Linked DNA regions of Oryctolagus cuniculus. The protein of the gene in region 1 purifies or fractionates together with the protein of each later gene. This does not show direct contact. Links are inferred from orthologs where the notes say so. Each region holds a gene or a part of one and is shown in the gene's direction. Other genes may lie near its edges. The genes, in order: TRIM25 and MAVS.

The links.
Region 2: the proteins of TRIM25 (region 1) and MAVS purify together in Homo sapiens (affinity purification with western blotting; 3 studies listed by BioGRID and IntAct, with this or other methods). This does not show direct contact. The link is inferred for Oryctolagus cuniculus from reciprocal best matches to the Homo sapiens genes TRIM25 and MAVS.

The regions. Positions count from the first base shown.
Region 1 is NC_091448.1:32,516,222-32,520,027, reverse strand, and holds part of TRIM25 (E3 ubiquitin/ISG15 ligase TRIM25), read left to right. Parts: intron 1-621; coding exon 622-717; intron 718-2,812; coding exon 2,813-3,046; intron 3,047-3,806.
Region 2 is NC_091442.1:29,181,189-29,184,994, forward strand, and holds part of MAVS (mitochondrial antiviral-signaling protein), read left to right. Parts: intron 1-1,295; 5' UTR 1,296-1,375; coding exon 1,376-1,492; intron 1,493-2,439; coding exon 2,440-2,614; intron 2,615-3,806.

The DNA.
Region 1 (3,806 bases):
TCTTCTCCTGGAAAGAGTTTTCTGGGTGAAATAGGTACAGTTCCTCCCAGGGTTTTATTCCCCAGTGTCATCAGGCAGGGCGGCCCACTTGGCGCTGGCAGGAGGGCAGGCGGGGATCACGTGCAGAGTTCTCAGGGCTATGGACAGGACTTTGCAGTGTGGAGACCCACGCTGCTGGAGGCTGCCCCCTTCCCTCCTCTGGTGCTTTGTTGACTTTAGGCTCCACACACACACACACACACACACACACACGGGCTGATCTCTAACTTCCTACCTGGCGAAGTCCCAGGTATGGGCAGGTGTGTTGTTCCAGGTAATCCTCCTTGATAGCCCTATGGGGTGGGAGCAGTTGTTTCTCTTTTATGGCCAATGAAACTGAGGTGGTGGGAGCTGTACAGCTGCAAACTGGGACTTGAGCTGGGTCCGTCTGACCCCACATCTGGTTCTCTGAACTTCCTTACTGTGCAGCCCCCCTAAAGGATGATGGACTGCTTCAGAAAGCTCTACACAGGCGAGACACGGGGTGGCCGAGCCCCTGTGGGATGGACTCAGGGGATGGCCCCTGGTGTTGGGGGTGAGGCTGACGAGGAGCTGTCTCACCCTTGTTTGTTTTCTCTGCAGAACAAGCTGAGGTACAAACTCACCATCATGTACAGTCAGATCAATGGGGCGTCGAAAGCGCTAGAGGATGTGCAAGCCAGGCAGCAGGGTGTGCAGGTGAGTGGCCAGGCCCTTGTCCACCACCAGGCGGGATGGGGGCAGCCCTGACCTTGACAAGGCTGGTGTTGGGTGCACTCACAAGCATCAGAATTCAGCACCAGCCTTGCAGAGCAAGCAAAAGCACTGTGTGCTCAGGAGAGACCCTTTGCAAACCCAAGTTGAAAACCACCCACAGGCCCAACCGTGGGGGAACCTTCAGAACTTGAGCTGGGGGTGGCTGCTGTGGTACAGTGGTTAAACCACTGCTTGGGATACCCGCGTCCCATGTCAGAGTGCTGGTTCGAGTCCCGGCTCCCCTGCTTCTGATCCAGTTTCTGCTAGTGTGCACCCTGGGAGGCAGCAGGTATTGGCTGAAGTGCTTGGGTCCCTGCTGTCCTCATGGAAGACCCAGAGTTCTGGGCTCCTGGTGTCAGCCTGGCCCAGCCTTGGCTGTTGCAGGCACTTGGGGAGTAAACCAGTGGATGGAAGCTTGCTTGCTCTCTTTCTCTTTCCCTCTCTGTGTGTTATTATGCCTTTCAAATAAATAAGCATAAAAAAAAAGAACTAAAATGTAGGAATATAAAGAAATGATTATGATCTGAAATGGGAGAAAAACAGGAAGCCAATATCCACTAGAGTTGCATCTTCCCTAAAAAGAGTGTTGTTTCCTGGGGCGCTGTAACAAATTGCCACAACCTTGGCGACTGAAACAAATGAAACTCATTCTTTCCCGGTTTTGGAGGCTGGAAGTCCAAAATCACAACGTGGGCGGGATCAGTTGCAGCATGGGTGGGGTCACACTGCTCTGACAGCTGTGACCGAGAGGCCATTTTTGCCTCTCCCAGCTCCAGCCCCTCAGGCTGATGGCTTTGTGGCTGTGTGGCTCCAGTCTCCCCCTCCTTCCCCTCTGTGTTTCCAAACACCTGTCAAATAAAAACAAAACACCTGTCTTTAGATTTAGGGCCCACCAGCATAATACAGGGTGATCTCATGTTGAGATCCTCAATTTAATTACATCTGCAAATACCCTTTACTGGGAGGCAGGTGTCGGGGGATAGGGAGGGAAGGCAGCATTGGATCCATTGCAGGGAGTATAGGAGAAAAGATAGGAAGGGAGAATTTTTTTAAAAAAGATTTTTTATTTATTTGAGAGGTAGAGTTACAGACAGAGAGAGGGAGAGACAGAGAGGTCTGTCATCTGCTGGTTCACTCCCCAAATAGCTACAGTGGCCAGGGCTGGGCCAGGCTGGAGCCAGGAGCTGAGAAATTCATCACAGTCTCCCACAGGCCCAGGTGCCTAAGCACTCAGGCCATCTTCCGCTGCCTTCCCAGGTGCATTAGCAGGGAGCTGGGACTCGAACCGGCGCCCACATGGATGTCTGTGTCTCAGGCTGCAGGTTGACCTGCTGCACCACAACGCTGGCCTCTGCTAACACATCTTGATTTGGACTAGCCACGTCTCAAGGGCTGGGAATGGAGCACAGGCACTCTGGTGTGGGATGCGGGCATCTTGACTGGCACTTCAGCTGCGAGGCTCAGTACTCAGCCGCTCCATGCATTTCTTTACGTGCTATCTCATACACGTATGCATTCTGTAGCAATCGATTCTGCCCTTCTGTTTGTTTCTCAGCTTTACATAAACAGCTGCTTCTCCAAGTCTGTGTCTTCTTCAAGTTGTTTTTCTCTCTTGGAGCTTTATCCCTGCATGGCTCCAGTTTATTAATCCTCATAACCATTTGGCTTTCCGTCCTGTGAACAGCTCTGTCTCAAGTCTTCTGCTGACAGATTTCCGGGTTGTTCCCAGGTTCTCGCTGTTTCAAAGCGTGTCACTTATGAACATTCTTGTGTGTGTCGCTGAGGCAGGTGTCAGGGCATTTTCCCAGAGTGCTTTCCTAGGATCGCAGCCACCGAGTCATTGGGCACAAATGCCTCCGAATTTCCTAGACTGCCTGGTTGCTGCCCAGGGTGGCTGTGCTGGCTCCTACTGCTACAGGGCACAAGTCAGAGTTTCTGGTGCTCTGCCTCTCACCCACCTTGGGATGGCAGCTGTAGCAATTTTTTTTTTTTTTTTTTTGCCCATCTCACGGTTCTTCTCTTGCCTCGGCCCTCTTAGGAGGCTACAAACAGGAAGATAGAGCAGCTGCGACAAGAATACCTGGAAATCAAGGCTCTCATCGATGCCTCGGAGGCCAGCTCGACTCGAAAGATAAAGGAAGAGGAGAAGAGAGTGCACAGCAAGTTGGACACCATTCACCAGGTGCTCCTCAAGAAGAAGAGCGAGATCCAGGCCCTGAAGGAGAAGATCGAGGACGGCCTCAAGGAGGGGGACGAGTTTGAGTTTCTGGAGGTGGGTGGCAGGGCCCGGGACTGCCGGGTCTCTTAGCGATACGGTGGGGCCTGGTGCCGTCGGGCTGCAAGAGGTCAACAGAAGTATCTCTGAGTTTGCTGGGTTGCGACAGGACTTCAAGAACGTACCGCAGCCCCAGGGCTTAGAGCTGCTCAGCGGCTCCCTGGCCCTGGAGTATGGGCATGGCTCCGTCTGCGCAGGAGCTCACGACGCCAGCATCTGGGGGCTGGCTGGGCTGCGTTCCTTTTGGAGCGCACATGGCGTGGCCGTTGTTGGTAGAATTCATTTCCTTAGGGTTGAAGGAATGAGGTCGCCCCCTCCTTGCTGGCTGTCAGCCAAGGCCTCTCCCAGCTTGGTAGCTTCCTTCCTCAAAGCTAGCAGGAGAGCTGCTCCCTCGAGGAAGGCCTGGTCCTCCTTTTACCTGATTGTCTGGCTCACCCGAAAAAATCCCCCTCTGGATGAACTCCAGGTCAACTGATTCGGGGTCTTCTTGTTGTTTGTTTCTTTTTTTTTTTTTACTTTTTAATTTTTATTTTATTTATTTATTTTTACTTTTTTTATTTTTTTGACAGGCAGAGTGGACAGTGAGAGAGAGAGACAGAGAGAAAGGTCTTCTTTTTGCCGTTGGTTCACCCTCCAATGGCCACCGCGGCTGGCGCACTGCGGCCGGCGCACCGTGCTGATCTGATGGCAGGAGCCAGGAGCCAGGTACTTATCCTGGTCTCCCATGGGGTGCAGGGCCCAAGCACCTGGGCCATCC
Region 2 (3,806 bases), on another chromosome or scaffold:
GGGACTCAACCATGCTCCTCTGGGATGCAGGCTTTGGCTTAACCCGTGGGCCACAGCAACGGCCCCAGGCTGTTTGTCTTACTCCCTGCAGCACTTCCTGGTGGGAGAGGCAAATAGGAAACCAGCAAACACTGAGTGTGACTTGTGCTAAGAGCCGCTGAAGCAATGGCTTGTATTAGAAGCACTTTAAAAACTGTGAGCATGTGGGGCCAAGTGATGACTGTCAAAGTAAGCTCGCGGAGCCATTTGAAGGTGAGGAAGAATCTTGGAAGAGGTGCATGCTGGGTCCCGGGTCCCCCCACGAGCTCAGGGCGGTGGGGTGCAGTCTCCCTGGAAGCATGGGCACGCGGCACGCTACAGCCACGGCCCACAGTTGTGTTCCGGAAAGAACCTGGTGCTGAGGGTCCCGGCTCTTTGCTCTTCCACGTCCAGCAGCCCCTGGGCTTCTTGGTACCTCGTTTTCTCCATCTTTAAAGTTAGATGATCCTATTGCTATCAGATTGGCCTCCACCACCATCACCCCCAACCTACCCCAAAGAAGCAGTACTTCAAGATGGGGAGTTATTGCTATTGTTCTAAGGGCCTTAGAGCTGGGAGCAACTCACAGACTTGGGAGCCAGGGTCATGGACAGGGCCCCGTCCCCCATGTGCTGGGGGTACAGGCAGACCCCCTTCCATGTGCTAGGGGCACAGGCAGACCCCCTCCATGTGCTAGGGGCACAGGCTCCAGCACCGACCAAGCTACAGGACAGACATGGGCCCTGCATCACCTGCATCTCCTTTTGGTCTTCAGTTCATTGTTGAGCAAATTCTTTGAGAGCCCCTAGGATCCAGGCAATTAGGACATTTAAAGAAATTGAGGGGCCAGTGCTGTGGCGTAGCAGGTTAGGCCGCTGCCTGCAGTGCCAGCACCTCATATGGGCGCTGGTTCTAGTCCCGGCTGCTCCACTTCCAGTCTAGCTCTGTGCTATGACCTGGAAAAGCAGCAGAAGATGGCCCAAGTCCTTGGGGCCTTGCACCCACGTAGGAGACCCGGAAGAAGCTCCTGGCTCCTGGTTTCAGACTGGCCCAACTCTGGCCATTGAAGGCATTTGGGAAGTGAACCAGCGGATGGAAGACCTCTCTCTCTGTCTCTCCTCTCTCTGTGTAACTCTGACTTTCAAATAAATAAAAAAAAAGAAAGAAAGAAATTGAAGATGAAAGATAAAAGCAGAATTCCAGCAGGCTGAGCAGGAAAGAAATGCCTTTGCCCCGCCCCTCCCAGCCCCGTGGCCTTGCCTTCTGCTCTCTTCCAGTCTTCCCCGTCTCTCAGTCCATCGCGCTCGGCCATAGCGCTCGCCGAGTCCAGGGCCCCGTCTGCAGAACTTGAGCGGCGATGACGTTTGCTGAGGACAAGACCTACAAGTACATCTGCCACCACCACAGCAGCTTCTGCCGTGTGGATGTTCTAGAGATCCTGCCTTACCTGCCCTGCCTTACGGCAAATGACCAGGTGAGCCCAGCCCCCGCCGGTTCACCCCAGCCAGGGCCAGCTCCTTCCTTGCCCCTCGTGGACCAGGGGTCTTCAAAAAATTCCTAGGAAACGCATATTCGGAAACCGCCCACATGTGGATTCCAAACCTTCCTGCACCTACATACACTTGTCTTTCTGATGTTTCTGCAAACTTTTCCCAGGCCCTGTATGCCGCCTCTTGTCCCTGCTACTTGGCGCACTGTGTGGTGGGGTTGGCTTTGCCAGCCTCCCCGGCTCCCTCTTGTGTTTGATTTCGTGTAGTGCTTCGGCTGGCTCCGGTCCCACTGTTCTTCGGAGCCCTCTCTTCCCTTCCTCTAGTCCTTGTCCTGCCCAGATTTGATTCCATTCTCCTCGTCCCAGGACCCTGCCCCACGGGCCCCCATGGTTCCAACCGCACCCAGCACAGAGAAAAACGCCCCTCCCCATTTCAGCTGCTGTCTCCAATGGGAGCCCTGCGCTCTCTTTCGGGGTCTCCTGTCTTCAGGCGTCTCAGGGCTGATGGGGTTTGACCCCTTCCTCTTGTATGTTGCATCTTGAAGATCCCTTATCGCTTAGCAACCGTTTTCTGTGTTTTGCTTCTGTTTTGTGGCTTGTTTTCATTTTGCTCTGGGGGGGGTTTCTGGTCCCAGGGCTTTTGCAGGCAATACATTTTGCTTCTCATCAGCAAAGGAGAGCTAATTACAGGACACTCAGAGTCCACTTCCCGGCAGCTGCAGTTGGTCGTTGGCTATTGGCTGCTGCTCATGGCTCTTCCTCATTCTGTTCTAGGGCCCTGATCCTGGCTTTGTCCTGGGCCAGGGTCCAGTGTCCAATGGCTGCTCCCCACTGGGGTCTCTCGGTGCCCCTCTCTGCAGTTGTCACATGCTGGGTGAAGAGGCAGCCAGCGACAACTGGCTTGAGCACGACTCCGGGGCTGTGTCTTCCAGGATCGGCTGCGGGCCTCCTACACGCGCCTGGGCAACCGAGACACCCTCTGGGACCTGTTCAACAGCCTGCAGCGGCGGACCGGCTGGGTGGATTCCTTCATCCGGGGCCTGAGGGCCTGCGAGCTGCCGGAGCTCGCTGACCAAGTGGCTGGCGAATATCAGCGCCACCTGCCTCGTGAGCGTCCTGCCCTGGCCCCGAGACCCTGCCTGCTTCCTCTGCCTTCTCTACCCTCGCCTCTCCCTCCTTGGTACCTCCTGCCTTTGTCCTCACCCTCCCACCCGTCTCCTGCCATCTGTGGGTGAACCCGAGTGTGGAGCCTGGCTGAGCCTTGGGCTTTCCCTCTGTAAGATGGGGCTGATGGCAGTTTCTGCACTGGGCAGATTCTGCGGGACGGTGCGTGTCGAAGGGGCCGACTCCTCTGATTTGTCGGGCTGTGTTCTTTGCCTGCTGCCTGCTTCTGGCCTCCGGGTTCCTTCCTCTCCACACCCACGTGTCCGCCCTCCCTCTCTCCACTTTACTTCCCCTCCTCCTGCTCCCCCTGGAAGCCTTCTAGCCCTCACCCCAGGCTGCTCCGTTACCTCTCAGCTCCCTTCCGCTGCCCCTTCCTGGCCCTGGTGCTGGGGGCATTTGGCATGGTCAGGAGAGGAGAGGGCCTGGGGGAGGGAGGGAACCAGCCTTGTTCATACCAAGGGACTTCAGGAAGCTCGTGGAAAGAACAGTTTGAAAGACACGTTTATCTTGGTGCCCCCCCAAAAAAAATTAAATCCATGCAGTTTTTATAGCATGCATTTCTTTCTTCCTTCCTCCCTCCCTCCCTCCTTCCCTCCCTCTCTTTTCTTTTTTATTTTTTCTTTCCTTCCTTCTTTCTCTCTTTTGTTTTCTTTCTTTCTCTCTCTTTTTTCTTTTGAAAGGCAGAGTTACAGAGGGAAAGGGAGAGACAGAGAGAGAGAGAGATCTTCCATCTGCTGGTTCATTTCCCAAATGCCATCAATGGCCAGAGCAGGGCCAGACTGAAACCAGGAGCCAGGAGCTTCTTCCAGGTCTCCCATATGGGTTCAGGGGCCCAAGCACTGGGGCCATTCTCTGCTACCTTCCCAGGCGCATTAGCAGGGACCTGAATCAGAAGTGGAGCAGCAGCCAGGACTCGAACCAGTGGCCAGATGGGATGCAGTGACTTTACCCACTATGCCACAGTGCTGGCTCCCATAACATGCGTTTCTGTGAGGTTTTTTAATTAATTAATTTATTTATTTATTTTGCCAGGCGGAGTGGACAGTGAGAGAGAGAGACAGAGAGAAAGGTCTTCCTTTGCCGTTGGTTCACCCTCCAATGGCCGACGCGGCTGGCGCGCTGCGGCTGGCGCACC